4 linked regions of the Stegostoma tigrinum genome follow. The protein of the gene in region 2 purifies or fractionates together with the protein of the main gene of each other region. This does not show direct contact. Links are inferred from orthologs where the notes say so. Each region holds a gene or a part of one and is shown on either strand. Other genes may lie near its edges. The genes, in order: fgfr1op2, strn3, cttnbp2 and misshapen-like kinase 1.

The links.
Region 1: the proteins of strn3 (region 2) and fgfr1op2 purify together in Homo sapiens (affinity purification with mass spectrometry; 5 studies listed by BioGRID and IntAct, with this or other methods). This does not show direct contact. The link is inferred for Stegostoma tigrinum from reciprocal best matches to the Homo sapiens genes STRN3 and FGFR1OP2.
Region 3: the proteins of strn3 (region 2) and cttnbp2 purify together in Homo sapiens (affinity purification with mass spectrometry; 4 studies listed by BioGRID and IntAct, with this or other methods). This does not show direct contact. The link is inferred for Stegostoma tigrinum from reciprocal best matches to the Homo sapiens genes STRN3 and CTTNBP2.
Region 4: the proteins of strn3 (region 2) and misshapen-like kinase 1 purify together in Homo sapiens (affinity purification with mass spectrometry; 3 studies listed by BioGRID and IntAct, with this or other methods). This does not show direct contact. The link is inferred for Stegostoma tigrinum from reciprocal best matches to the Homo sapiens genes STRN3 and MINK1.

Annotation. Positions count from the first base shown.
Region 1 is NC_081371.1:59,157,614-59,165,143, reverse strand, and holds the start of fgfr1op2 (FGFR1 oncogene partner 2 homolog), read right to left. Parts: upstream 3,011-7,530; 5' UTR 2,937-3,010; intron 1,270-2,936; 5' UTR 1,083-1,269; intron 166-1,082; 5' UTR 164-165; coding exon 29-163; intron 1-28. UniProt on the Homo sapiens protein: May be involved in wound healing pathway.
Region 2 is NC_081363.1:61,112,168-61,119,663, forward strand, and holds the start of strn3 (striatin-3), read left to right. Parts: upstream 1-4,493; 5' UTR 4,494-4,652; coding exon 4,653-4,892; intron 4,893-5,046; exon of another isoform or gene 5,047-5,100; intron 5,101-7,496. UniProt on the Homo sapiens protein: Calmodulin-binding scaffolding protein which is the center of the striatin-interacting phosphatase and kinase (STRIPAK) complexes.
Region 3 is NC_081371.1:35,147,212-35,155,056, reverse strand, and holds the start of cttnbp2 (cortactin-binding protein 2), read left to right. Parts: upstream 1-4,835; 5' UTR 4,836-5,215; coding exon of another isoform or gene 5,216-5,291; intron 5,292-5,343; exon of another isoform or gene 5,344-5,594; 5' UTR 5,595-5,630; coding exon 5,631-5,813; intron 5,814-6,732; coding exon 6,733-6,840; intron 6,841-7,845. UniProt on the Homo sapiens protein: Regulates the dendritic spine distribution of CTTN/cortactin in hippocampal neurons, and thus controls dendritic spinogenesis and dendritic spine maintenance.
Region 4 is NC_081398.1:13,574,918-13,581,751, reverse strand, and holds the start of misshapen-like kinase 1, read left to right. Parts: upstream 1-3,821; 5' UTR 3,822-4,460; coding exon 4,461-4,517; intron 4,518-6,834. UniProt on the Homo sapiens protein: Serine/threonine kinase which acts as a negative regulator of Ras-related Rap2-mediated signal transduction to control neuronal structure and AMPA receptor trafficking.

The sequences.
Region 1 (7,530 bases), on a different chromosome or scaffold from region 2:
TGCAGAATAATTGTTGTATATCACTCACCTGCTTCATGGCCTCCACTCGCTTGTTCAGTGCAGTGGTCTGTTCAATGAGAGCTTCTGCTGCACTGTCATGTTCTTTCAATCGTTCCACCAGCGCTTTTGCATCAGCCAGAACCTTCTCTATAGTACAACTCATTTCTGTAAAAGGAAAGACTGTTTTTCTGGGTCGACACAGAGTGAAGATGGTGGAACACAGCAGGTCAGCAGCATCAGAGGAGCAGGAGAGTCGATGTTTCGGGCCTAGACCCATCATCGGTCCTGATTCCTGGAGTCAGCCTGACCCGCTGTGTTCCTTCAGCTCCACACTATTGATTCTGATTCCGGCATCCGCAGACCTTGCTGTCTGTTTTACTGGGTGCCAGAGTACACGGCTCACAGAACACGAAACAGATTGTATTGGTGTACCATCCTGCAGCAGACAGAAAACATTCAATCCTGTTGCACAACTCATCAGAATGGCTGCTCATCAAGCTCCGTGCTCTCCCAGACCGCTGCAAATCTTCATTTACCACTAGGGGTTGTGCTGGCAAGGTAGGAACCAAACTTGTACAATGCAAGACACCATTAACCACATCTGGGAGCACTGTTCCATTTCAGGAAAGTTATTTGTGTTTGAAACACTGGTCTTAAATAGGATCTTTAAAGACTATTGCACCCTTAAAAGGATCCTCACTGAAGACAACACAGCTCTGTCTCAGTGCCGCACTGGAGCAGTCAGTTTAGGCCATCGGTAAACCCACCAGACTGTAGGTAAGGGTCCGAACAATTAAGCCCTGCTGATAGCAGGAAAAACAGAAAATGCCATGACAAAAACAAATCTGTCAAATGCTTCAGAGAATGACTTTACAAAAAGACATCCTTCAAAGACTAGACTTTGACAGCTGCAGAAATTCTCTTGTGTTTTAATCACACTAATTACCAGCCTAATTAGCCAGTGTTTCAGATAAACTGGGTTGTCATTTCAATAGCTAAGGCATATTCTGTGTTGTTACTGAAATTACAAAGAAACTTTGGCTCACAGACTGCTTTGTAACATCAAATGAAAAATCACAGACCTGAAGCACCAACTATGTTCTGATCTCCCCGAATACAGCCAGCAGCTGAGTATTTTCACTAATTTCTGTATTTACTTCAGGTTTCCAGCATCTGCAGCATTTTTCTGTTGTTGCATTTATAACTAGGCTGTTTTTGACGGCAAATTAGATGTCTTGGGGTCGCAAGAACCTTACTCCCCATTCACACCTACACACACAGGATCAAAGTTTTACTTCTGTGTTGTCGAGTTATAAATAATAACAAGCAATTCAGGTGCAAACACAACATAAGCCCGTTGTAAGCCAATCTGACACGGCACTGAACCCAGGCAAAGGAAAACAAGGCAGACAGTCACTATGTATTGGGGAGGGGTCTCACAGAAGTATGGAAACTGCTACAACATGGAAGCTGGAGGAGGAGAGTGAGGGAGGGTGCAAGGGGAAGGTGGTAGTGAGAGAGGGATGGGGGGAGAGGGATGGGGGGAGAGGGGTGGGGGGAGAGGGGTGGGGGGAGAGGGGTGGGGTGGGGGGAGAGGGGTGGGGGGAGAGGGGTGGGGGGAGAGGGGTGGGGGGAGAGGGGTGGGGGGAGAGGGGTGGGGGGAGAGGGGTGGGGGGAGAGGGGTGGGGGGAGAGGGGTGGGGGGAGAGGGGTGGGGTGGGGGGGTGGGGTGGGGGGGTGGGGGGAGAGGGGTGGGGTGGGGGGGGAGGGGGGGGGGGGAGGGGAGGGGGGGGAGGGGAGGGGGGGGAGGGGGTGGGGGGGAGGGGGGTGGGTGGGGAGGGGGTGGGGGGGAGGTGGGTGGGGAGGGGGTGGGGGGGAGGGGGTGGGGGGGAGGGGGGTGGGGAGGGGGGTGGGGAGGGGGGTGGGGGGGAGGAGGGGGGTGGGGAGGGGGGTGGGGGGGAGGAGGGGGGGGAGGAGGGGGGTGGGGGGGAGGAGGGGGGTGGGGAGGGGGGTGGGGGTGGGGGGGGGGAGTGGGGGGTGGGGGGGGGAGTGGGGGTGGGGGGGGGAGTGGGGGTGGGGGGGGAGTGGGGGTGGGGGGGGAGTGGGGGTGGGGGGGGGGAGTGGGGGGTGGGGGGGGGAGTGGGGGTGGGGGGGGGAGTGGGGGGGAGTGGGGGTGGGGGGGGAGTGGGGGTGGGGGGGGAGTGGGGGTGGGGGGGGAGTGGGGGTGGGGGTGGGGGGGAGTGGGGGTGGGGGTGGGGGGGAGTGGGGGGGGAGTGGGGGTGGGGGGGAGTGGGGGGGGAGGGGGAGTGGGGGGGGGGAGTGGGGGGGAGGGGGAGTGGGGGGGGAGTGGGGGTGGGGGGGAGGGGGAGTGGGGGGGGAGTGGGGGTGGGGGAGGGGGGAGTGGGGGTGGGGGAGGGGGAGGTGGGAGTGGGGGGGGAGTGGGGGAGGGGGGAGTGGGGGTGGGGGAGGGGGGAGTGGGGGTGGGGGTGGGGGAGGGGGGAGTGGGGGTGGGGGAGGGGGGAGTGGGGGTGGGGGAGGGGGAGGTGGGGGAGGGGGGAGTGGGGGTGGGGGAGGGGGAGGTGGGAGTGGGGGTGGGGGTGGGGGAGGTGGGAGTGGGGGTGGGGGAGGTGGGAGTGGGGGTGGGGGAGGTGGGAGGGGGGGTGGGGGAGGTGGGTGGGTGGGGGGGAGAAGTGGGTGGGGGGAGGTGGGGGGGTGGACGGGGGAGGTGGGGGGGGGGAGTGGATGGGGGGGGTGGGGGGGGTGGGTGGGGTGGGGGGGGTGGGGGGGGGTGGGGGGGGTGGGGGGGGTGGGTGGGGTGGGGGGGGTGGGTGGGGTGGGGGCGGATGGTGGGTTGTCCCTGGGAGGTCAGGACCCTATCGACTCCCTGCGCCGCAGCCTTGGAGACCCCTCGCGGCTCCTTCCCGCTCCATATCTCACCGACTCAGAACCGTTGCTGCTGCCGCCGTTTCCATGAACCTCTCGGCGGTCAAAGGCCGGAACCGGAAATGCCCCAACAACCCAGGGGCGGAACCGCGCGTGCGCAACCCCGGCGCGCCGCGCGGTGCACGCAGGGGATTGTAGTTCGCTGCAGTGCGCATGCCTGATGCTCCACGGATTTCACCTCCAGGCTACAGGCGGCGCTGTCCAAAGGAAAACGCATTTGCAACATTCAGGTGCAAATGTGTCAAACAGGAACAACCATGTGGCCAAACCATGTGGCAAAACCAGTGGGAAATCCAACCGGAACCCATTGGGTTAGTCACCAGACATGTGGCTGTTTGTCATTTTGGGGGAACTGTTAGCTTGGAAAATGACTGACAGACAGGAATGCCCATGTCAGGAGTGTTTCAGCCTCTCACACTGATCCCTCAATTATCTTTCTCAAGAAAAGTGATTTCTCACATTGATTCGAATAGACAGATGTTTGATGACCATGCACACATGATGGGCTGAAGGGCCTTCTTCTGTGTCGTAAAAAAACTCTGAGGTCAGACGACACCAGGTTATAGTCCAACAGGTTTATTCGAAATCCCAGGCTTTCCAATTGTAGAGATAGCAGGAACTGCCGATGGTGGAGTATCTGATACAACACGGTGTAGAGCTGGATCAAAGGAGCAGGAAAGCTTGACGTTTTGGGTCGGGACCCTTCTTCAGAAATGGGGGAGGGGAAGGGGGTTTCTGAAATAAATAGGGAGACGGGGGGAGGCGGAGAGAAGATGGATAGAGGGGAAGATCGGTGGAGAGGAGACAGACAGGTCTAAGAGGCAGGGTTAGAGCCAGTGAATGTGAATGTAGGTGAGGAGTTAGGGATGGGATAGGTCAGTCCAGGGAGGACGGATATGTCGGCGGGGGTGCGGGATGAGGTTAGTAGGTAGGGGATGGGGGTGGGGCTTGAGGTGCCTTTGTCAGGTGAAGCCCTGACAGAGGAGCAGTGCACTAAAAGTTTGTGATTTCAAATAAACCTGTTGGACTATAAACTGGTGGCATCTGAATTCTGACTTTGTCCACCCCAGTTGAACACCAACCTCTACATCATAAAAAATGCTACGTGTGGAAGACCTTTGTGATCCTTTTAAGAATTCTGATTTAGTGATCGTGTTTTTTTTTGTTTGACTGTGCACCAATATATCACCAATACTCTTGCTTGCCTTTACACACACTATTTGCCTTGCCCCCACTCTGACCAGTTGTTCACGCTCTTCCCACTTACATTTATGATTCCTCTAACATTATGTTCTATTATAATTTCCAGTTTCCTGGCCGCAGACAACACCTCTTCACCATGGGTGTATAATCCTTACACACAGCTATCCCCATCAGGATGTTCTGGCAGTTGTCTACTACTTCCTTGAAAAGAGGGCTGAATGATTCCTATCCTCCAGCACCTGACTGAGCTCATTTTAAGTCTGAACAACCCCTTTAACTTGTTCAATTTTCTCTCAGTCAAAGGAGTGGCTATGAGGACCTGCATTGGGCCCAGTTGTGCCTATCTCTTTGCAATTTGAGCAACATTCCTTCAGTCCTAATCAGGAACCCTCCCAATGACATCATTAGTGCTGACACTGGTCTGGAATCAGAAAAATTAATTAGCTTTGCTTCCCATTTCCAACCTGGTCTCACCTTCATCTGGTCTATTTTGACTCTTCTTTCCCTGCCCTTAATTCCCATGCTTCCATTTCTGGGGATAGGCTGTCCACCAATATCCATTACAATCCCAGTTACCGTGGCTACACATCTGCAAATCTTATGTCCTGCAAGGACTCCATTCCATTTTCCCAGCATCTCCATCTCCTTTTGCATCTTTTCCAACGATGCCAGATTCCACCTTGTGGTATCCAACATGATATCCTTTTGTGTCAACTGAGAAATTCTGCCCTTTAAGGAATTCCTCCCTCCCCACCCTCATTGTAGCTGACAGACCCCTGAACCATGTGCAATCTGTCTCTCCCATTTTTCCATCAACAATGATAGGATTCCCTTTGTCCTCACTCCCCACCAGTGTGCACATCCAAAGGATCCTTCATTGGCTCTTCTGCCACCTCCAGCAGGATGTTACCACCAACACATCTTCCCCTTCCCTCCAATGTCAGCATTCCACAGGAACAATTCTCTCTATAACAGTCCAAGCACTTCCTTACTGTCCAAACGTACCTGCTCCAGGTGAAGCAGTGTATTGTAGTGTACTATCTAGTGTATTGTATTCACTGCTCACAATGCAGTCTCCTTTACACTGGTGAGACAAAGTGTAGACTGGATGATCACTCTATGGAACCATTCCAATCTGTCGATAGGAAGAACCTTCTTGTTGCTTGTTGTTTCAATGCCATTATCTTGCTCTCTTGCCAACATTTCCATCCTAGACCTGCTGCAGCGTTACAGCAAAGCTCAACGCAAGTGGAGACGCAGCACCTGGTTTTCCTCTGAGGCACTTTACAGCCGCCAGAGCTCAACACAGAGTTCAACAACGTTCCAGCATGTACACTCTTCTCCAGTGACCATAGTTCTGTTACTTTTAAATAGTTATGGAGAAGGGCAAAACTGGCCCACAGGTTCAAATTCTAAATTGGAGCAAGGTGAATTTTGATGGAAAGAGACAGGAGCTTGCAGGGGTTGATTAGAATAGTTTGTTTACAGGTAAAGGGATCTCTGGCGAGTGGGAGGCCTTGAAAAGTGTGATAGGTAGAGTTTTAGGTCTATAAGCTCCTGTGAGGGTGACGGGCAAGGTTGGCAGGAATAGGGAACTCTGGATGACAAGAGATATTGAGCTTTTACCAGAAAGAAAAGGAGGCATGACTCAGGTAAAGGCAGCTGGGATCAAAGGGATCCCTGAAGGTATAGTGGGGATTCAGGAATTTACTGAAGGAGGAAATCAGGAGGGTGAAAAGGGGAGACAGCTTTGGCTGAGAAGGTTAGGGTGAATCCAAAGACATTCTTTAAGTATATAAAAAAAGAGGAATAACTAGAGAGAGAATAAGACCCCTCAAGGACCAAAGTGGACATGTGTGTGTGTGGAACCACAGGGGATGGGTGAGGTCCTAAATGAATATTTCTCCTCTGTGTTTACCGTGGAGAAAGAACATGAAGACTAGGGAACTTGGGGAGGTTAGTGGTGATATATTTGGGACAATCTATATCACAGTACAGGAGGCTTTGGAAGTACTAGAATATACAAAGGTGGATAAATCTCCTGGTCCTGACCAGATATGTCCAAGAACCCTGCAAAAGGCTAGGGAAGGAATTGCGGGATCCCTGGCTGATATAGTTGCATCATTATTAGCCATAAGTGAGGACCCACAAGACTGGAGGGTAGTGAATGTTGTGCCTTTATTCACAAAGAGCTGTAAAGAATAACCTGGGAATTGTAGATAAATAAGCTTAACGTCTGTGGTAGGTAAGTTACCGGAGAAGATTCTGAGGGATAAGACATACATACATTTAGAAAGACAGGTTTGATTAGGAGTAGTCAGCATGGCTTTGTGCATGGGAGTTCAAGCCTCACAAAATATGTTAGAGTTCTTTGATGAAGTGACCAGGAAGCTGATGAGGGCGGGGTAGTAGATGTAGTCTACATGGATTTCAGTAAGGCCTTTGATAAGGTTCCACATGGTAGGCTGCTCTGGAAGGTTAGATCACATTAAATCCAGGGAGAGCTGGCAATTTGGATAGACAAGTGGCTTGATGGTAGGAAACAGAGGATAATAGTGGAAGGATGCTTGTCTGACTGGAGGCTTGTGCCTCAGGAGTCAGTGCTGGGCCCATTTCTGTTTGTTGCCCATATCAATGATTTGGATGAAAATGTACAAGGCATAATTCTTAAGTTTGCGTATGACACTGAAATAGGTGGTATTGTGGACAGTGAGGAAGGTATTCAGTAATTGCAGCAGGATCTTGATCAGCTGGGGAAGTTAGCCGATAAATGGCAAATGGAGTTTAATATAAATAAGTGTGAGGGTGCGGCATTTGGAAAGTCAAATCAAGGTAGGAGTTTCATGGTGAATGGTCGGGCCTTAAAGTGTTTAGTGGAAGAGAGGGACCTTGGAGCTGAGGTGCACAGTTCTCTGAAAGTGGAGTCATAGATAGGGCAGTGAGGAAGGCTTTTTAGGAAGTTATGTTGCAGGTGTACAGGACGTTGGTGAGGCTGCACTTGGTGTATTGTGCTCAGTTTTGGTCACCGTGCTGTAGGAAGGATGCTACACCTTCCCGCCTCACCTCTGTGCAGGACCCCAAGCAATCCTTCCAGATTCAGCAGCTATTCCCTTGCACTTCACCCAGCCTGATTTATTTTTATTGCGTCCGTTGCTCCCGATGTGGTCTCCTCTGTCTCACGGAGACCAAATGTAGACTCAGGGACCGGTTCATCAGCATCTGCGCTGTGCATGCACCAACCAACCTGTTCTTCCAGTTACCATCCACATTAACTCCCCCTGCCACTCCCCTGGTGACATGTCCATCATTGGCCTCCTCCACTGTCAGAGTGAGGCCAAACATAAACTGGAGGAACAACACTTGATATTTTGCCTTGGGAGTTTAC
Region 2 (7,496 bases):
GGCTGGAAAAGCTCTGAAAATTTGGTTAGATGGAAATGAGTGCATGATCTCCTACTGGGATCTTTGCAAAATAGAAATCCTACCTGACAATCGGCAGTTAATATTTTCCTATAACAACAAGGTGTAGAGCTGGATGAACACAGCAGGCCAAGCACCATCTTAGGAGCAGGAAGGCTGATGTTTCGGGCTTAGACCTGGCCTTCTTGCTCCTGTGATGCTGCTTGGCCTGCTGTGTTCATCCAGCTCGATACCTTGTTATCTAGGATTCTTCAGCATCTGCAGTTCCTATTATCTCTGATAATATTTTTCTATTATGTTTTACCATAATCTCTGGTACAAAACAAATTGTCTCTGATTACTTTACGGACAGGTTCTATGATAACCTCCCAAGCAAAACAAATCAACATTATAGAGAAGGTTAACTGCACACACGTACTGTATTGTGTCAGTATCTCAAACAATTTTAACAGTTACTTCATATAATCAAAATGTTAAAATAATGAGCATCAGCTAAATAACAATCTCAAATCAGATAGAAGTTCAAAAGTGACAATATCACAGTTATTGCCAAATCAGCCTACACATTTCCTTAATAAGACAAGTGACTACTATGTGACAGCAGGACTTCAATCATCTTGATATCAAACATATCAAGAACTAAAGAGATGAGGAACTGTTTGAACCAGACTGAAATGCTATGTCAGTGTGACCTCAATGTATTTTGGTTAAGTTTGATTCTTCCTGTAACAAAGTGTAACACTTTGAAGGCATGAAGCAAATATAGCATTATTAGAAGATGGAAAAGAACTAAAATTACTCAAATGGAAAGTATTTTGAATTATAACATTTATTTTTAAAGCAATGATTGATATGGACAAGGAAAATTAGACTGAAAATAGATGTTATTCATTAAATAGAATGTATCCTGAAGATAATTCTGGCTGTTTACAATATAGGATAACTATTTTCAGACTCTTCTATCCTCTGCTACTGAAAACCAGCAACTGAAAGAGTCACATTAAAGACACTAACAGCTGCCTCATGCAGGCATGAATGTAGCTCATGGTTACAGTGACTTCCACTTCAGTATTTCTGCAGTTGAATTCCAATTAACTTATGCAGACACTATAATTATCTTATCATCATTGGTTGACGTGATGGGAAACCCCATTCATAGCTCAAAGTAAAAATCTCCATTGTTGACCAATCACTCAGGACTAATGGCAATTCAGTATGATTGAAGAATTGTACTTAGGAACTGTTGATAGTGTAATCAATAAAAACAGATACAGCTGTCCACTTCCCACCGACCAAATCATTCAGCTGGAAGTTGTGCCATGTTCCATTCAGCTGTACTTGCAAGTGCGAGCTCTGTTCATTGGTCCATACTGAATTCAGTCACGTCAGTCAAAGCAGCACTGGGGACTTGTAGTTGACCTATGAATCCGTGGATTGAGAATAACATCCAAGGTTTTATCTTTTCATTATTTACTGACTACTGCTGGAAAACATCACATTATGTGAGCACAGCACCCGAGCATTGCTATGTAGGTCTATAAAACCAAAAAAGTGCATTCAATTAACACCAAATAGACATTGAGGTTTCCTGAAATGTTTCACAAAATAAAATATTCTTGAAATGTAGTTATGGCTGGTTTTCAAATAAACAAGGCAAACTGGTGCACAGCAACAGACTACAAATTAACAAGTTTTTGGTGATTTTGATTGAGGGATATAAATTTGCCAAACACTCGTTCTTCCTCTTTAATCACTGGATCATGGCCCAGTTTAATGTCTCGTTCAAAAGACTGTGATTTGAACAAAGAAGCATCCACTCAGTACTGCTCTGACATACGTACTCTTGAAACTGTATCTTTCCGACTAAAATTTGAGAATGTTACCATTGGGCCATTATGACTGCTTACTAACAACTAATATTCAGACTCAAATGTAAACAATAAGTGCTTGAAAAGAACTTCTGATAGCTACTGGTACAGGATTAGAGTTGTATCAGTGCAGAGACTATCTCCAGGACTTCTAAGGAACAAAATATGAAAAATATACCTTTATAAATTGTCTTTAAAGTGAAGCAGGTTCAAGGAACCAAGTGGCTGGTTCGTGCTCCTAATTTGTATGTTGGTATATTCATAGAGACAGAGTCAGAGATATATAGTACAGAAAACAGACCCTTTGGCCCATCTTGTTCATGCCGACCAAGTATCCTAAACTGATGTAGTTCCATTTGCCAGCATTTGGCCCATAACCTTCTAAAGCCTTCCTGTTCATGTACTCATCCAGATGCATTTTAGATGATATAATTGTACCTCCCTCCACCAATTCATCTGACAGCTTGTTCGATACACAAACCAACCTCTGCATGAAAACATTGCCCCTCAGGTTCCTTTTAAACTTATGTTGACAGAGGCAAAGGAAAAGTAACACGAAGCAACAGGATTAGGATGAGAGATCAAGAGCTTATTCATGGAGGTGATCAAAAGTTAATAAATGCCTGCAAATACATGGTCGGGCCATGGTTAGAATAAAGACAACAGAGTTTTGTAATTTTAGCTTGTGGACCATGGATAATGGGAAGTTGGACTGAAGAATAATTGAATAATTAAAACTGGAAGGGTCAGTTCAATGAATCAGTGTTTTCAATGCAACATGGGTTGAGATAACGGAAGAGCAGATAATGCTACAGAGTTGAATGTTGCAGATCTTCATGATGTACATGGTATCTTGACTGACTGACATCTTTGTTTTTGACTGCGAATGTTACTAACTAATTGCATTCTTATTCCAGAATTTATAATAATTTCTTTTCATCCAGTTTTCTACCCATTCCATTCATTCTAAGTAAATTATATCTGTACACTCTGGAATTTAAAGAAATGAGGGGTGATTTCGTTGAAACATGCAAGTAGTTGAAACTGAAGTCGTAGGAAGTGCTGGAGAATCTGAGATAACAAGGTGTAGAGCTGAATGAACACAGCAGGCTAAGCAGCATCAATGGAGCAGGAAAGCTGACATTTCGGGCCTAGGCCCTTCTTAATTTTCTGAAGAAAGGTCTAGGCCCGAAACATCATCTTTCCTGCTCCTATGATGCTGCTTGGCCTGCTTTGTTCATCCAGCTCTACACCTTCTTATCCAAGATTCTGAAGTGGTTTCGCAGGTTAAAGAGAGAAGGTTTTTCTCCTGTCTAGGGAATCTAGGGCACCAGGGATCAATGATAACAAAGTGTGAAGCTGGATGAACACAGCAGTTCCCATTATCTCTGATCACCAGGGAACAATTTCAGGTTAAGGATCACTTGGGGTTGACATGAAGAGAAATTTCTTCACTCAGAGGTCTGTGAATCTTTAGAATTTTCTACAGAGGTGTGAACTCTCCAGACAAATACATTTCTGATCTCACATAATCAAGATTAATGGGAGAAGATAAGAAAACAAAACTGATGCAAAAGATTTGTTGTGACATTGTGGCTCAGTCATTAACACCACTGTCTCACAGCATCAGGGACCAGGATTCCATTCCACCCTTGAGTGACTTGTCTGTATGGAGTTTGCACATTCTCTAGATGTGTGTTGGCTTGCTCCAGTTTCCTCCCACAGTCCAAAGACATGCCATGCTAAATTTCCCATAATGTTCAGGGATGTGCAGACTCAGTGGGTGAACCATAGGAGGTTGCAGGAAATAAGGTGGGATGCTCTTCAGAGGGTTAGTGCAAATGTGATGGGTGGAATAGCCTGCTTCCACACTGTAGGATTCTATATTTAGTAGATAAGCAGACTTGAAGGTCTGCAGGATAACCCACACCTGGTTTTACTTATGTGTCTTGGATATAGTCAGCCTTCTGGCATCTTTCACCATGATTATTCTTTCCGTAAACTCAGACAATGAGAAATGAATGGATAATTAAGACTGTAGCCCTTAATAGTAAAAAGAACTGGGCAGTGATCAATAATAAGACTGTGGCTGGTTCTCCTCTTTAGCACAGGAACATACACTTGAACCTCTACCCTAGCAAAACCAACAAAAAAAGTCAACAAGCTCCTGTCAGCCAGAATGGTGCAATGCTGAAAATTTTAGCTTCAAGTTAAAGGATTATTGTAGAAAGTTACAGAAACTCTTTCCTGTTGCATTAGCAGGTTCTGTTAAATAAAACTCAATTATCTGAACACACGGGGTCTTAAATAGTATCCGCAAAAGTGATGCGATCACTGATTAGAAATAAGGAAAAAGAGCAAACATTTTAAATTAAACTGAATCGCACCAGACCGTTTCTTAGGGGAAGTAATATCTGAATAGAAACTGATACTTTGATCGTAAAAGGAGAATCTCATTTCATTTGTCTTACACGCTCTTTTCAGTCTCTCTGTAGAAACGACAGGTAAGGTCCTAGTGAGTAGCCTGCAGACACTGAGCAGGTGTGTGGGCCAGTGAGGCGCGCCTGCGCACTAGCGCTGCTGCTGTATTTGGCCAAAGGGCCGCGGCTGCTCCTCCTCCACCGACAGCGCAGCGCCGCCGCCATATTCTGCAGACAGAAGGGCAATGGCGGCTCGCTTGCGACGCTGAAACTCATCCGGTTACTTTCCTTCGCGGACCCTTCCCACTAATATAACAATACCACCGTAGTAATAACAATAATAAACATGGACGAACATCCGATAGGAATGTCCTCACAAAACAATTCCGGAGGTCCTTTGCTGGGCCCGGGAAGCAACGGCAGCAACAACAACGGTGTCCGGCAGCAGCAGCAGCAGGGTCAGCTAGAGGAACTGCAGCAGCGGCCCCAGTACACTATCCCCGGCATCTTACACTATATCCAGCATGAGTGGGCCCGCTTCGAGATGGAGCGAGCGCACTGGGAGGTGGAGAGGGCCGAGCTTCAGGTAGAGTGACAAGCAGTGCTCGCACAGCGGGTCTGGGGGTCCGGGGAGGGCTGATCTACAGCTGGGGACGTCGAACTCGGAATGAGCGATACGGTTGTGTGCTCAGTGTTCGCCCGGGGCTCGGAGGAGGATTGATAGAGCGGATAGTATTTACCCAAGTGTGAGGCTATCCTCGCCGCCGCCATTTTTGTTTCCAATATGGCGCCGGACAGCTGAGTGTAAATAACTGGGAGCATGTTTGTATGTGGGTGCTCATGGACCTTAGGTTCGTCTGATGGTCCTGGTTTTCAACTTAATTTGCTTCTCCTGATTTGTTACCGAATGATGCTGTTGTCGGACAGTGTGCGCCTCTTACATCTCTGATCAAACGGGGAGCCTCAGACCCGGGTGTCTGGTTTTGCAGAATGGATTGTTTGAGCGTTGCTTGGGTAGCATTGCATAAGCCCTTGATGCAGAATATGACTCAGTTCTCATAATTTGCCTGAAACTGTCAATCTGGATAAATGTGTTTGTGTTGAAGCGATTCAGTTGTGATCCGACAAATTGGCACTGACCACATCGGGCATAGACTTGACATTCAGTTGACTGACGCGATATCGTTTTAATTCACTTGCAGTTTCATTGCGATCCTGTCATTTAAACAAATGCATGTTCTCACATCGTGGTAACTGTTTATCGTTGTAACGATGGACAGCTTAAGGCAAAATGCAGGATCTCAATTCCTCGTTCACTTTGGTGGTGTCATTATACCATATATCCATTTCTGAAGTTAATTCTAACAGCAGCATTGTTATATGTTACATGACTTGTTAAGATACCCTTTGTGTCTTCAAAATATTACTTTAAGACAGACAACTGTTTGTATAAACAGTTTGCAACAAAAGGTAGTGTAGGCATTGTAATGTTGAGGACAATGCTGCGTTTTTAGAGGTTCCATCTCTTGGGTGAAATTGTAAACAGGCCATGTTTGTCTGTTGATTTCAAGAATAATTTTGGTACTGTTTACAATTTAGGAGTTCTCACAGATCACTTACTCTTAAAACAGCACTAAATGGATTAACTAGTCATGTTTGAGTTTATATAGAAATCGGATGCAGTTTGTTCGCATTAAAGCAACTACACTTCAGATCTAAAATTCAAATCTTGAAGTGTTTTGAAATAACTTGATAATGTATTTTTTTTTTGAAGAAATGCTACTTGTCGTTACATTCTAACTGACAATATGGTAATAAGTAAATTTTTTTTGTTACTTTTGAATACATGCAACCTTTTTTAAAATACAAGGCAGTGACTTACTTCACTGTCACTAATTAATCTCAGTATTTAAAATTGGTGTACCTGGATTCTTTATATTGTGAGTTTTTATAATTAAATATTATCATTAATATCAACCAGTAGTTTAATTTTGCTAGACCTTTTGAGTAAATGTGATTTTGACTGCTAGATTTTTCTTGAATTAAGTTTAATGATGTAGTTTATGTTTTATTTGTAGTTTTGGGAACAAAATATTTATCCTACATTAATTGAAACCATATACTATATACTGTACTTGGAATCACAGAAACTAGGAGCAGACTATTTGGGCCTTCGAGGTTTCAGTATGATAATAGCTGACCATATGTCTGCTTTCTTCCCATGCCTGTTGATACTTTCAAAATCTAAAAAGGAATCACTTTCTTGAATACATTCAGTAATTTGGCATACATGTCTTCAGTAGTAGAGAATTCCCCAGATTAACTACCCTTTGAAGAATCATAGAATCCATGCAATGTGGAAGCAGACCATTCAGCCCATTGAGTGGACACTGGCTTTCCAAAGAGCGTCTCACCCAGACCTATCCCATAGCCCTCCCTGTAACACTGCATTTCCACCTAGCCTCACACCCCTAGACATTGTGGGCAATTTAGCATGGCCAGTCCATCTAACCTGCTCATCTTTAGACTGTGGAACGATACCAGAGTACCTGGAAGAAATCCACACAGACACTGGGAAGATGTGCAGATAAATAGTTTAACCCATATTTTAATGCTGTTCCTTGATTCTGGACTCCCAATCAGGAAAAAAAATCTTCCCACTATCCAGTGTGTCCAGCTGTGTTAGAATTTACACGATAAGAATCATACCCCTAGACCAACAAGCGTACACAATTTATCTCTGTGTTAGAATTTTATACATTTCAGTCAGATCCCGTTTCATCCTTCTATTGGATCTAACAGAGGACAGCCATGGAATTCTTGGAGGCTTGACATTCATCTGAGGACTCTATCAACCAACACATTGAATTGGATTCAATATATTGACCATTACAATGCACAGCCAGAACTGGCACCTACCAGAAGCAGCAAAAACCAGACCATGTAAATTCAAACTGGCACAAGACAACAGCACTGAGTATGTCATGTAGTAAGGGGACAAAACATCTGCTATCAAATCAACGAACACACCAGCATCTACAACCAGCACTGTCCTATAAATCTAAGGCAACCCCAGTTTGCCTTCCAAATTGCTAGTGCACCCACCCATTGATCGGCTTACAAAGACATCCCGATCCCTTTGTTTATCCATACTTTCCAACACAGCAAGCTTTTTTTATTATCCTGCACA
Region 3 (7,845 bases), on a different chromosome or scaffold from region 2:
TGGCCGCGACCAGGTGTACCTCCGCTGTGCTCCGTCTGCAGGGGTGCTGAAGACGTCGAGCAGCTTGGCGTCCTTCACCGTGCCCATCAGGAATCTGGGCGTGACGTCCAGTTGACTCCCCCCACCCGCTGTCCCCACGCCGGATCTTCCATCTGCATCAATGATGCAGTTGAAGTCTCCGCCTAGGATGACTGGCCTGGACGTAGCCAGCAGGGGTGGAAGCTGCTGCAGGACGGCCAACCGCTCATTCCTTACCGCTGGGGCGTACACATTGACCAGCCTCAGGGGAGCGTTCCTGTAGGTGACATCAGCCACTAGGAGGCGCCACCCCCTCCACCTCCTGAACTTGAGAGATGTGAAGTCGCGCCCCCGCAGCAGAATAGCCAGGCCCGAGCAGTGACAGTCGTTACCCCCCGACCAGATCGAAGGCCCACCAGGTCCAGGCGCCGGACCATTTCCCGTACCTGCCGAGGTGCGGTATCCCGCACTCCTGTAGAAACAGGATGTCCGCCTTGACGGTGGTCAGGTAGGCCAACATGGAGACACATCTTGCGGTGGACTTGACACTGCGCACATTAATGCTCGCAATTCGTACCCCCATTGTGGGCAGTGACCGCAGTACCGTCCCCAAGTCCAAGGTCCAGCCCCTCCATCTGTCCCTTCATGCCCATTGCCCGGGCTAACTGCCGGACGCTCTCCGGGCTAAGGAAACCGTCTGTGCTGCCTTCCGGGTGGCATCACCCCCGTCAGGGGTGCGGAGGCAGGAGGGTCCGGCTCCGGGTCAGGCTGGGGACGCGCTGTTTCCTCCGTCCCGCCTGGAAGTTCCGGGGGGCCCTCCAGTGCCCCAGCGGCACTTGACTGGGTGTCGGCGGGAGCCTCAGGACGCCTCCCATCACCTGGAAGCGGGATGCTGCTTTCCTTCTCCCTCGAGATCTTTAACTTCTGCTTCGGGTGGGCCCTCTCCGAATCCCCCTCGTCAGAGGAGCTCTTATAGCCCCCCTGTAGCTGCCTCTTCCCGCCTGATGGTTGCGGTTTCTGGGCCCATCGACGCACCTTCCGCCTCGCTTTCCGGACTGTTGTCCACTCCCCTGGGTCGCCTGTCGCCGCCTCCATCGACTCCGGGTTGTCGGGGGGGAGCGGAGCCTGCAGGGGTGCTTTGCCGGCCTCGGGCCCACCCTGCGGGGCTGGGCCCACCCTGCGCGGCCTGGCCCTCCCGCTCATTAGTGGGGTCCTTGCTGGGCCCTGGTGCCTTCCTCTCCTCCGGGGGCGCTGGCCCCGCATTGCCCCTGCCAGCAACCTGGGCATAGGTGGTCCCCCGCTGCCGGCATGCCCTATAGAGGTGGCCCGCTTCCCCGCAAAGGTTGCAGCTTTTCTCTTGTGGGCAATCCTTTGCAAGGTGTCCCTCCTCCCTGCAGATGGTGGCTTTGCAGTCGGCCGCCACATGACCTGACCTACCACAGGCATGGCAGACTTTAGGTTGCCATGCATAGGTCAGGTAGCCCTTGCTCCCACCGATCGCGAAGCTGGACGGTGGGTGTACGACATTCCCGTCCGCACCCATCCTCAGCATCACCTTGACCTGCCTCTTACTCGTCCAGATGCCAAAGGGGTCCATGATGTCAGTTAGGTCCCCTTCCACCTTCACGTACCTTCCGAGGAAGGTCAGGACATCAACTGCTGGCACATGCGGGTTGTACATATGTACAGTCACCATACGGCTCCTCTGCGCTGGCATCACAAACAGCGGGACAGCAGGCAATACAGAGAGGGGGCCCTCACCTCCTTTCTCCTTGAAAACCTCCAGGAAGTGCTCGCAAAGCTTGGCACTCCTGAAGGTCACGTCGTATAAACCTCCTCCGGGGAAATCCTGCAGGCAGTAAATGTCCGCAGCAGCGAACCCGCAACAGTCCAACAGGACCCTCTTCACGAAGAAGGTGCAGTCCACAGGTGCACCTTCATCCACCTTCTTTACGGAAACACGGTTGGCGTTCCGGACCCCCTGACCTGGGGCACGAGCACTTGCCGCAGCCATCGTTGCAGGTTGGCTGCTCCCCTGAACCAGCGTTAGGCCGAAGCCAGCATTAAGATCCACTGGTTGCAAGGGTGCACAGCCAACCCGACGTCCTCCTTCCACCTCCAAGACAGCACTCTCCTCCTCTCAGTCCACAAGAGAGTGGTTCTTTATTTTGTTCCAGATATAAGCTGGTTCACTGAGCTTGAAGGTTTGTTCCCAGATGTTTTGTCACCATTCTAGGTAACATCATCTGTGAGCCTCCCACAAAGCACTAGTGTTATGTCCCACTTTCTATTTACCTGTTTAGGTTTCCTTGGGTTGCTGATGTCATTTCCTGCATTGGTGATGTCATTTACTGTTCCTTTTCTCAGAGGATGGTAGATTGGCTCCAAATCAACATGTTTGTTGATGGAGTTCCTGTTGGAATGCCATGCTTCTAGGAATTCTCGTGCGTGTCTCTGTTTGGCTTGTCCTAGGATGGATGTGTTGTCCCACTCAAAGTGGTGACCTTCCTCATCTGTATGTAAGGATACGAGTGATAGTGGGTCATGTCGTTTTGTGGCTAGTTGATGTTCATGTATCCTGGTGGCTAGCTTTCTGCCTGTTTGTCCAAATGTAGTGTTTGTCACAGTTCTTGCAAGGTATTTTTTTTTCGACATAACACCAGCGCTTCGTCGGAGGCTCACTGATGATGTCACCTAGAATGGTGACGAAATGTCTGAAAACTAACCTTTCAGCTCAGCGAGCAAACTCACATCCAGATAAATATAGCCTATTTTCTAAAGAATTAGAAGGTTAAGGATATCTGACTGAAGTCTTCAAGATATTAACGGGAAAAGACAAAGTAAACAAAGATAAACTATTTCCACTAGTTTGACATTGTAGAACTAGGGGGCACAGTTTGGGAATTACAGCCAGACCATTCAAGAGAGATTTTGGAGGCACTTCTATATACAAAGGGTCATGTTTGGAGCTCTCTTCTGGAAATGGCAATGGATGCAGGGTTAGTTGTTAATTTTAAGTCCAAGATTGATAGTTTTTTGTTCAGCAAAAGGCAGGAATACGGAGTTAGGTCACAGATCGGCCATGCTCTCACTGAATAGTGGAAGAATGGCCTACTGCTGTTCCTTTGTCAGAGATGTGGGATTTGGATTATATAGATAATCTGGGGACCTGACATCGTTTGTTATAAACAATTGCTCATCCCTTAAATTAAAGTAACTACATCATGTCATAGATACCCTACATTCCAAAAGGGACTGGAGGTTGGTGTGCAAAGAGGCAGTTTTACTGTTCCTGCATCTATAAGACATTCTTACAAAAGCACAGATATTTGACTTTTCTTCCTCAAGGTGCCCTCCAATTGTTCGGTTTCAGTTTCCACGTTTCTTAGAATTAAGCAATAAACTAAGCTTTGTGCAAGATTGCAGATTATTTCCTTAAAAAAAAGCTCATGAAATTGAAAGTAATTCCCATTCTTTGATCACTTGTGTACAAATAATGGCATTGAGATGGAAAGTGGCAAAGTTGTTCTTCGGAGTTTCAATTTATGCTTTTTGTGAAGAATGAAGATGATGCTGCGTGAGAAGTGACAGGAGATTTGCTTCAAGCAATTTTTTTCTGAATTATCTCCGGATTTTACCACATCCTATTTAACAGTAAGAAATCAAAATTATGATGTCGCCAAACTGCCTACTGTTTAGTAATTCCATTTTTAAAATTAATTTGATTAGAATTAATCCTAGTGCATATGCATTTGAAGTTTTTGCTGTATATAGATTATTTTAGCCCAGTTTGTGGTTACAGCATTTCCATCTTAATTTAATCAGGATATTTTTTCCAGCAATTTAGTAGGAAAGTGAATACTTTCCACTGACATTTAGCTACTTGTTTTCTGAAATGAACATTATTTTGTTCCACAAGGTTTAAACATTCTTCAGGTTCTTTGATGCTCTCCTTTAGTATTATACTCCAAATGGACACAAGATTTGCATTTTAATATGCAAAAAGTAACATATATTTTACCTGAGATAATATAGAATAGCTAAAAGCTATAAAAACTACTTTTGAGTTATCCTGCATGTGAGATTTCAGAAACTAAGTATTAGAAGCTCCATTGGATCCAGAAGATTCACACAGGAGATCTGTCTCTTTTTGCCTGGCATCAATCCACGCAGCTTCCTGCATGATGTGGGTCTTCATCCACTAAGGGTAAATTACTGATGGTGATGGGAGGCCCACTTATTGGCCTCAATAGGCCCAAAGACAGGGTAGACCGTCTGACACCTCCACATACCCGACATATCGCCCAGGTTAGGTGAAACAAGTAGGTCTTCCACCTTGAATCCTGCCAGCAAGGAAGATTGAAATCCAGCTAATTAACTCTGCTTTCTCTTAGAAATTCTGCCTGATCTGGTGACAGTAGTTCCAAAATTTTCTATTCACATTACAGACTGACAAAATTGAGTGTTTTGCTTTGGCTTTACAATCAACAGAAGTAAAAATTTTCCCCAAAAGTCTGCCTGACAGATTGATGCAGTTAATTACACTTACCTTCATTTTGACTAACGGCAAAGACCAAACAAATAAATTAAAAAAGCTTGAAAAAAATGGCAGTCTACTTTTTTCGACACCCGTTATCTGGTTCCCAATGCAACACAGGAGTTTCAAATTTATTAGAGAAAGGCAGGGACTTCAGATAAAGCGACGAATATTTTAACATTTCTCCTATCTCGTTATCAACCAACCAGCTTCCAAGTCACGATATCTTGTCAAGCAGGGTCTCCGTGACTCCTGTGCTGTTCTTACGATGATAGCAGTTATACAGATCAGTTACACCTCACTGTGAAATGGCTGCAGAAGCATTTTGCCACAGTCCGAGGTCTTGATTTTGGTTTGGAATATGTGAGCGTTCATGGACAGTGAAACTTCCGTGCCCGTGAGGCTTTGTTTATAAATTTTCTACACTAACTATGCAATGTTACGAGAAATGGGTCCATGTCAAAATTACCAGGCAAACGTGAGACTTGTTCACCGGGAGGTATTCAGATGAAAAATCATCAGCAAGAACAGCGGTGCTTCACACTGCACTGACCCCAGCCTTCAGAAGAGTTACCCTTCATGTGTCATTTAGTTTCGCCTCTCCAGTAATAAGTTGCTGGTTTGGTAGAGCCTCTGTGTGGCTATTTCATTGTCAGTTTGATGTTCAGCTCGGAATCTCTGGGTTTGGTTTATGCAGTCTCTCTTTTTCTCCATTGGTTGTACAGCCTCTCTCCAGGTTTGGTTTATGCAATCTCTCTTTTTCTCTCCTGGTTTTGTTTGTGCAATGTCTCTCTGCTTTGATTTGTACAGTCTCTCTCTCCTGGTTTAGTTTGTGCTGTTTCTCTTTGTAGATTTGATTTATGCAATCTCTCTATTGGTTTGGTTTGTACAGTCTCTTTCTGTCTGTAGATTTGGTTTGGTTTGTGCAATCTCTCTCTCTGCTTAGGTCTGTACAGTCTCTCCCTCCCTCTCTCCAGTTTGCTTTGTGCTGTTTCTTTTATAGGTTTGATTTATGCAGACTGTGTCTTTCTCTCGACAGGTTTCGTTTCTGCAGTTTCTCTCTCGGTTGCTGTGAATGGGCTCTGGTTTTTCTTTGCTGGTGGTCACTGCCCCCTGTCTGGTTGCTGGCGCTGAGTCTGTCTGTCTGTATTCCCCCCTCCCTCCCACCCCCTCACAAGGCAAAATGGCGACTGAGAGCGAGTTGAGGCCGGACAGCGGCGACCCCTCGTCTGAGGAACAAGCCCCCACTGTCTGCCAGGTAAAGTCCAGTGAGTGACCCGTACCGCGGAGTCAGCTTTATCAACGGCAATGTGTATTAAATAAATGAAGAAAAGCCCGCTCCTTTGTGAGAGGTTGAGTCTGGAATGTAGCCGCATAAACTCAGTGGATACAATGTATCCGTTCCCTGTGGAAGTTGATGCGGGAAGCGGCCACACGCTAAGAGGGGTTCAGCCTGGAAAATGTAACCGTGCAGTTCTTCTACCTCTTCATAAATTCCGTTCCCGTCGCTTTTCTTTTTCGTAACGTGTTTGAAAGCACGATTTGATTTGGGCTTTAGAATCGATTTACGTTTGGCGTTTTGCTCACACCGTTGCCGAGATTCTCATTTTCTTTGCTGGCTTTATAGTGGAACGTACTACATTCCGAAATTGAAATTCGATTGAAGGCATTTTTTTTCTGTTTGAAAACGAAAACCCACCCACACACCAAGGTTTTTGCCGGCCCGCAGCACTTTGTTTGCCCTGAACAAAACCCCGAGGGTTGCCTTCCTGCAGCTGAAATCTGAGCCCGTGTCTATATCATTTATCTTACTCAGTTCAATAAGGCAAAACTCGATTGTATCGAAGATATTATTTGTCTAAACTACATTTCCTTTCATATTATATCGCAATTGCTGTTTAATTGTAATTGATGAGAACATTCGGCTACCTTAAATCGTAAGAGCTGTAGGAGAATCGACTAGCCACCTTAAGGAATTGAGGGTTTTTTTTGTATTATCGTGTTTTATACAGTACGTAGAACAGTTGCACATTTGTTTATGGTCTTTTGATTTTTGTTTCAGTCAAACATTGTTAGAGGCGTAAATTATGTTTTGTGTTGTCATTCAGCTTAATGCTTAATACATTGGTGTGAGTCCTTATCCACTTAAATTGGAAGTAAATTTGTTACTGTTCCAGAAGTCTGAATTTGACCTGGAGAGTCTGAGTAAAACCGAGCTGCTGACTTTCCTAAGTATCCTTGAAGGAGAATTGGAAGCCAGAGATCTGGTGATCGAAACGTTAAGGGTAAGTGATAGACTTTCTTTTCTTAACTGTTTCTATTTCACCCTCCATTTATAGGATGGTGCAAATGTGTGATGCACACATTTCACACAGGCTTTCATTTCACTAAAGAACCAGATGCTGTTGGAATTTTCCAGCTACAAGTATTCAACTTGGCAAATAATTTGATAGGTATTAGCAATTTCAAAGACATCCTGTCTTACACTTACACTGTAAACGAATGCTGTCATCATTAGAGTTTGCAGCATTTCTGGTTGCTTTGCTGTACAGGTTGATGTCAGGCTTAAATACTTCATGAACGATTTGCCATTAAGCTGCCCTCCTACGAATTAGAAGTGCTGCACTGATGTGAACGAAGGAAAGCTCAAGGCTGTGGGTGGAAATGAATTATTTAAATTATTAGAACCAGTTGACAAAAGCTGTTAAAACTGCTGGGACGTTTGGTTTCATAAGTAGGGAGACAGTGTAAAATTGAAGTGGTAATGATGAGCCATTGGTTGGATTGCCATTAGAATGTTACTTCTGTTTTTGGAATCTAAATAAGGAAAAATGTCAAGATTATGGAATGGGTACAAAAGGGATTTATTAAAGTGATACCATTTTGTGGGAGATTTGTTACAAGAAGATAGTCACAGATTGTGATATTTTTTTTCTTAATGGTATATCTGTGAAGGTTAAGAGGCAACTTACTGGTGTTCCAAAGTGGGTTTAGGTAACTGTGTTTAAAAAATATCCAGATTGGTGACACACAAAGTTTAGTGCTTAAGTTTAAGATGCACACCAAAATGGAAATGATGGTTAGGTGATTTTCGTAGCTTGTGAAGGAACTCCAGTGTGTTATGCTTTCTATTGGGATGCTCTGTATTTATTAAAAAAAACTCTTGTTAGCATAATACTTTTAGTTTATGTTATACAATGAAAGCACAGCTGTGTAAGAAGCCACCATGACAATATTCGTGACCCACATTAAGCTTAAACTCCAAATGTAAGATAAATATAGTTGTCCTA
Region 4 (6,834 bases), on a different chromosome or scaffold from region 2:
AGCTGCAGCTCCTCACAGACCATATTGTTGGTTTACAGCATTGCAGGGGGAAGAGAGTGTTATAGACACTAGTTACAGTGATGTGGACACACTCCAGGTTCAGTCAGGTAGATGGGGGGGCTGCCAGGAGTGGTAGGAAGGCAGTGTAGCACTCTCCTGTGATTATTCCCCTCTCTAACAAGTATACCATTTCAGAAACCGGTGGGGGCGTGGTAGCCTCCCAGGGGAGTATAATAGCAGCAGTCAGGCCTATGACACCATGACTAGCTCTGCTGTAGAGCCGGGTCAGACAAAGTCCAAGTGAGCATGAATAGTAGAGAACTTGCTAGTCAGGGGCACAAACAGGCATCTTTGAGGCTGTGTTTGAGACTCCAGGACAGTGCGTTGCCTCCCAGATCCAGGACGTCTCTGAGCATTGTATGAAATTCTTATGGGGGAGGGTGAGTAGCCAGAAGTCGTTGTACATACTGGTACCAACAGCACAGGTAGGAAAAGGGAGTTGGTCCTAAAGAGGGATTACAGGGAATTAGGCAGAAGGTTCAAATACAGGATCTCAAGGGTAGTAACTTCTGGGTGAGTTCCAGTGCTACATGTTAGTGAAAATAGGATGAGCAGGATTTGGCAGATGAGTGCATGGCTTGAGACCTGGTGCAAGGGGCAGCGATGCAGATTCATGGATCATTGGGATCTCTTCTGGGGCAGAGGTGACCTGTACAAGAGGGACGGTTGCATCTGAACTGGATGGGGGTCAACATTCTGGCAGGAAGACTTGGAAGCAACTTGGGAGGGTTTAAGATAACAAAGTGTGGAGCTGGATGAACACAGCAGGCCAGCCAGCATCAGAGGAGCAGGAAAGCTGGCATTTTGGGTCTGGGCCCCTTCTTCAGAAAGGTTCAGACGCGAAACTTCAGCTTTCCCGCTCCTCTGATGCTGCCTGGCCTGCTGTGTACATCCAGCTCCACACCTTGCTATCTCAGACTCCAACATCGGCAGTTCCGACTATCCTTGGGAGGGTTTAACCTAGTCTGGCAGGAGTTGGGGGCATGGGATCAAAAGCAGTACGGAGACAACAGAGAAGGTTTAGGGCAGTACAGAGGTTAATGAAAGCAAATTAAACAGTAAAGGCAGTGTTGGTAATCCTAGTACTAGACACAGCAGGCAAGAGCACAACAGGAAGCAAGGGAGGTCTCAGCTAAACTGTGTTTACTTCAATGCAAGAGGCCTGACAAATAATACAAATGAACTTGGGGCCTAGATGAGTACATGGGGCCGGGATAATAAATCTATTACAGAAACATGGTTGAGGGGAGGACAGGGCTAGCAGTTCAATGTTCCCGGTACCGATGTTATAGGAAGGAGAGAAAGGGAAGCAACAGAGGAGGAAGAGTTGAGTTTCTGCTCAGGGAGAACATCACAGCAGTACTGACAGTAGACATGCTTGAGGGCTTGTTCAGAATCTATATGGGTGGAACTGAGAAATATAAAAAAAAGCATTGTATCTAGGCTGCCCAATAGTCAGCAGGAGACTGAAGAACAAGTATGTAAGGAGTTTGCAGATGGCTGCAAGTAATAAGGTTGTAATAGTAAGTGATTTTAACCTTCATAACATCGACTGGGGACTGTCATTGTGTAAGGGTTTGTTTGCAGACAAATTTGTTTAGTGTATTTAGGAGGAATTTCTCATGCAGTATGTAGATGGCCCCAATAGACAAGGAGCAAAACTTGATCTCCTCTTGGAAAATACAGCAGGGCAAGTGATGAAGAGTTAATAGGGGAGCACTTTGGGACCAGTGACCATAATTCCATTAGTTATAAAACAGCAAAGGAAATGAATAGATCCAGTCCACAAGACAACATTCTAAATTGGGGCAAGGTCAACTTTGATGGCCTTTGACAGGAATGTTCAAGAGTTGAATGGGGGAGGCTGTTTGCAGGCAAAGGGACGTCTGGTAAATGAGATGCTTTCAGAAGTGAGTTAGAGGGTTCAGGGCCAGCATGTTTCTGTTAGAATGAAGGGTAAGGCTGGCAGGAGTAGGGAAAGTAAGTATGGAGAGCAATGGGTGGTTTTTGTCAAGGCTTATTCTGTGTAGCTCCATGATTCCTCTGTGCTGGGATGCATAGAGACAAACATCCACTTGCACCTGGAGGGCTATCAACTTCCTGAACAGACAGTCCTTGGTATGCCAAGATCTGTTGGTCTTCCAGTGCGGAGGTGATCTTGACTGAATATTGCAGACTGGCACATTCCAAGGTATGGGATGCACTGAAGCTTGGGCCAGCTGCTGCGAAGGCACAGTGGGGAAAGACTACTGTCGAAGATATTTCTGCCAAAGTTAAACAGGGGTCTGTCCAGTCATCGGACGCCTTTCCTGTGCCTCAAATTGATGTAAATATAATCACGTATCAGTAAGAAACAGCCTTGGGTTAGTTTTGTTGGGTATAGTGAAACTCCAACATTAGTTTGTTTCTCCATCTGTTACTGTACAGAACAGGACTGCTTTAGTGACTTTGCATGTATTTAAAGATTTTTTTATGACCAATGCACATTTTTGAAAATAAAAAATATCGATCTCTGTCTTGCATGGACATCTAAATCTGGAACGTTAAGCTAACAGTCTTGTCCTTCTTGCAACCAGGTCTATAATAGCTACAACATTATAGATATAGAGTCATACAGAATGGAAACAGACCCTTTGGTCCAATCAGCCTATGCTGATCGTAATACTGAACTAAATTAATTCCACCTGCCTGCTTTTGGCCCATATCCCTCCAAACCTTTCCAATTCATGTACCTGTCCAAATTTTAAAAAAAAATTTTCTAACTGTGCCCACATCCACCACTTCCTAATGAAGTTCATTCCACAAAAACCACCTTATGTAAAAAGATTTTCCCCTCACAGCTTTTTAAAATCTCACCTCTGCCATTAAAAATGTGCTCCCTAGTCTTGAAATCCCCAATCCTAGGGAAAAGATACCTTCCATTAACCTTCATGATTTTACAAATCTAAGTTCACCTCTCAAATTCCTATGCTCCAGTGAAAAATATTCCAGCCTTTCCTTATCACTCAAATTTTCCATGCTCACCAACAACCTCTTTTGAATCCTCTCCAGTTTAAGAATATCCTTCTTGTAACCTGGTGACCAGAACTGCATACATTACTCAAAGAACAGACCTCACCACCATGCTGTACAACCTCAATATGACATCCCAACTCAAAGGACTGAGCACTGAAGACATGCGTGGCAAATAACCTTTTAACCAACATGCCAAAAACTTGCCTGCACCCCTGGTTGCTATGTTCCACCACATTATCTAAGGCCCTATCATTAATTGTATAAGTCCTGCCCTAGTTTGTACGTGGACTAACGCTTAGATTTCGATTTGCATTGTATAGAGGCGTGTTATCCATTCAGGTACTCAGTAGGTTGACGTCTGTATTAGACTGAGATGCAATGTCTGTGGTAAATCGAAGGCCCACTTTCCCCTCACCTGAGGTCTGGTGACCCTCAGGTTAAACCACCAGCAGTCTTAGTGAGAACTGTCCCATTACCATCCTGTATGCTCTTACACAGAATATCCCCTCCCTCTGGTTTCCAATGGAATGAAGCCTTCATTTGGAGCTCATCAAAGCATCATCAACCAGGTACATCATCTCAGACGCGCCTTCGGCTCGGAGTACGCAGGCGCAATGTTGGGGCTTAAGGACGAGCTGGAGCGCAGGCGCGAGCACGTTTCACGAGGGGAGCGAATGGCATTACGGCTTGTCGGTGACGTCACCCAGGTCCGGTGGTTAAGTGACGTCCGCGTCTTTCATGTTAGGAGGCCGTGACGTCAAAACAGTGCGGAGCGACAGCCGGCGGGGAGGCGGAAACGGAGAACTGCACGGACCGGGGGCGCGTCAGGTGGTGTTCCGATTGGTCTGAGGGGACGGGGCGTGGAGAACCTGACGTTCTCATAGGAGGGGTAAAACCAACGTCACGCGGCTGGGCCGGCCTATGACGTCCGACGGAGGTCAAACGTGGGGGCGGGCATCATGACGCCCTACAGTGGGCGGGGTTAAACGTCAGGAGTCTGGGCGTGTCGGCGGCGTTGCCCCTGGTTACCGGTCGAGGGTTGGCGTTGGGGAGAGAAGTAGGTTGTCGTTTGGAACCGGGGAATGGAGGCGGAGGAGAGGACGGAACGGTGGCAGATCTTCACCAACGGCAGCTGCCCCCGCCCAACACCGTAAGGACAGGTCCCGTTTCACCTGACCCCATTCGCCCAGCCGTAGCAGAGTAACAAAAGGTTGAGGTGGAGAGATCTAACCGCACCCCCACAACCCCTCCATCCTCCGCCCCGTCAGTCAGTGTCCGGCGCCCGTGAGTCTGTTGAAAACGGGGCCGCGGGCTCGGCCTCTGCTCACGGTTGAACACAGAAAGGGCCCGAACCCCTCTCCCCGGCCATCAGGCGGCGCAGGAAGATGGCGAACGAGCCTCCCGCCCGCAGTCTGGACGACATCGACCTCTCGGCTCTCCGGGTAAGGCAAGGAACTGACTCCCCGCCCCCCTCCACTATCTTGCCCCCCCCCCCCCCGCCGCTCCCCGATTCCCCCCTTTCATCCCCCTCACCCCTCTCTTCCCCGATTCCCCTCTCTTCCCCCCCTCCCCCCTCTCTTCCCCCCCTCACCCCTCTCTTCCCCCCTCCCCGATTTCCCCCTCACCCCTCTCTTCCCCCCTCCCCGATTTCCCCCACCACTCTCTTTCCCCCCTCCTCCCCGATTCACCCTTTCCCCCACCCCCTCCTCCCCCCTCCCCAATTTCCCCTTTCCTCCACCCCTTTGCTCCCTGATTTCCCCCCTTTCTGCCCCCTCCCCGATTTTCCCCCTCCCCGATTTTCCCCCTCCCCGATTTTCCCCCTCCCCGATTTTCCCCCTCCCCGATTTTCCCCCTCCCCGATTTTCCCCCTCCCCGATTTTCCCCCTCACCCCTCCCCGATTTCCCCTTCTCCCCCAACCCGTCCCTTCTCCCCCAACCCGTCCCTTCTCCCCCAACCCGTCCCTTCTCCCCCCACCGGTCCCCCGTCCTCCCCGATTTCCCCTTTCCCCCGTCCTCCCCGATTTCCCCTTTCCCCCGTCCTCCCCGATTTCCCCTTTCCCCCCTCCCCGATTTCCCTTCCCCCCCCCTCCCCGATTTCCCCTTCCCCCCCTCCCCGATTTCCCCTTCCCCCCCCTCCCCGATTTCCCCTTCCCCCCCTCCCTGATTTCCCCTTCCCCCCCTCCCCGATTTTCCCCCTCCCCGATTTTCCCCCTCCCCGATTTTCCCCCTCCCCGATTTTCCCCCTCCCCGATTTTCCCCCTCCCCGATTTTCCCCCTCCCCGATTTTCCCCACCACTCTCTTTCCCCCCTCCTCCCCGATTCACCCTTTCCCCCACCCCCTCCTCCCCCCTCCCCAATTTCCCCTTTCCTCCACCCCTTTCCTCCCTGATTTCCCCCCTTTCTGCCCCCTCCCCGATTTTCCCCCTCCCCGATTTTCCCCCTCCCCGATTTTCCCCCTCCCCGATTTTCCCCCACCCCGATTTTCCCCCACCCCGATTTTCCCCCACCCCGATTTTCCCCCTCCTCGATTTTCCCCCTCACCCCTCCCCGATTTTCCCTCCACCCCTCTCTTCCCCCGTCCTCCCCGATTTCCGATTTCCCCGTCCTCCCCGATTTCCCCTTTTCCCCGTCCTCCCCGATTTCCCCTTTCCCCCGTCCTCCCCGATTTCCCCTTTCCCCCGTCCTCCCCGATTTCCCCTTCCCCCCCCATCCTCCCCGATTTCCCCTTCCCCCCCCCATCCTCCCCGATTTCCCCTCCCCCCCCTCCCCGATTTCCCCTTCCCCCCCCCCCTCCTCCCCGATTTCCCCTTCTCCCCCAACCCGTCCCTTCTCCCCCAACCCGTCCCTTCTCCCCCAACCCGTCCCTTCTCCCCCCACCGGTCCCTTAACCCCCCCCCCCCTTTCCCCCGTCCTCCCCGATTTCCCCTTTCCCCCATCCTCCCCGATTTCCCCTTTCCCCCCTCCCCGATTTCCCCTTTCCCCCCTCCCCGATTTCCCCTTCCCCCTCCCCGATTTCCCCTTCCCCCTCCCCGATTTTCCCCCTCCCCGATTTTCCCCCTCCCCGATTTTCCCCCTCCCCGATTTTCCCCCTCCCCGATTTTCCCCCTCACCCCTCCCCGATTTTCCCTCCACCCCTCTCTTTCCCCCGTCCTCCCCGATTTCCGATTTCCCCGTCCTCCCCGATTTCCCCTTTTCCCCGTCCTCCCCGATTTCCCCTTTCCCCCGTCCTCCCCGATTTCCCCTTCCCCCCCGTCCTCCCCGATTTCCCCTTCCCCCCCCCATCCTCCCCGATTTCCCCTTCCCCCCCCCCCCGATTTCCCCTTCCCCCCCCCATCCTCCCCGATTTCCCCTTCCCCCCCCTCCCCGATTTCCCCTTCCCCCCCCTCCCCGATTTCCCCTTCCCCCCCCTCCCCGATTTCCCCTTCTCCCCCGTCCCCGATTTCCCCTTCCCCCCCCCCTCCCCGATTTCCCCTTCTCCCCCAACCCGTCCCTTCTCCCCCAACCCGTCCCTTCTCCCCCAACCCGTCCCTTCTCCCCCAACCCGTCCCTTCTCCCCCCACCGGTCCCTTAACCCCGCCCTTTCCCCCATCCTCCCCGATTTCCCCTTTCCCCCATCCTCCCCGATTTCCCCTTTCCCCCATCCTCCCCGATTTCCCCTTTCCCCCCTCCCCGATTTCCCCTTCTCCCCCGTCCCCGATTTCCCCTTCCCCCCCCTCCTCCCCGATTTCCCCTTCTCCCCCAACCCGTCCCTTCTCCCCC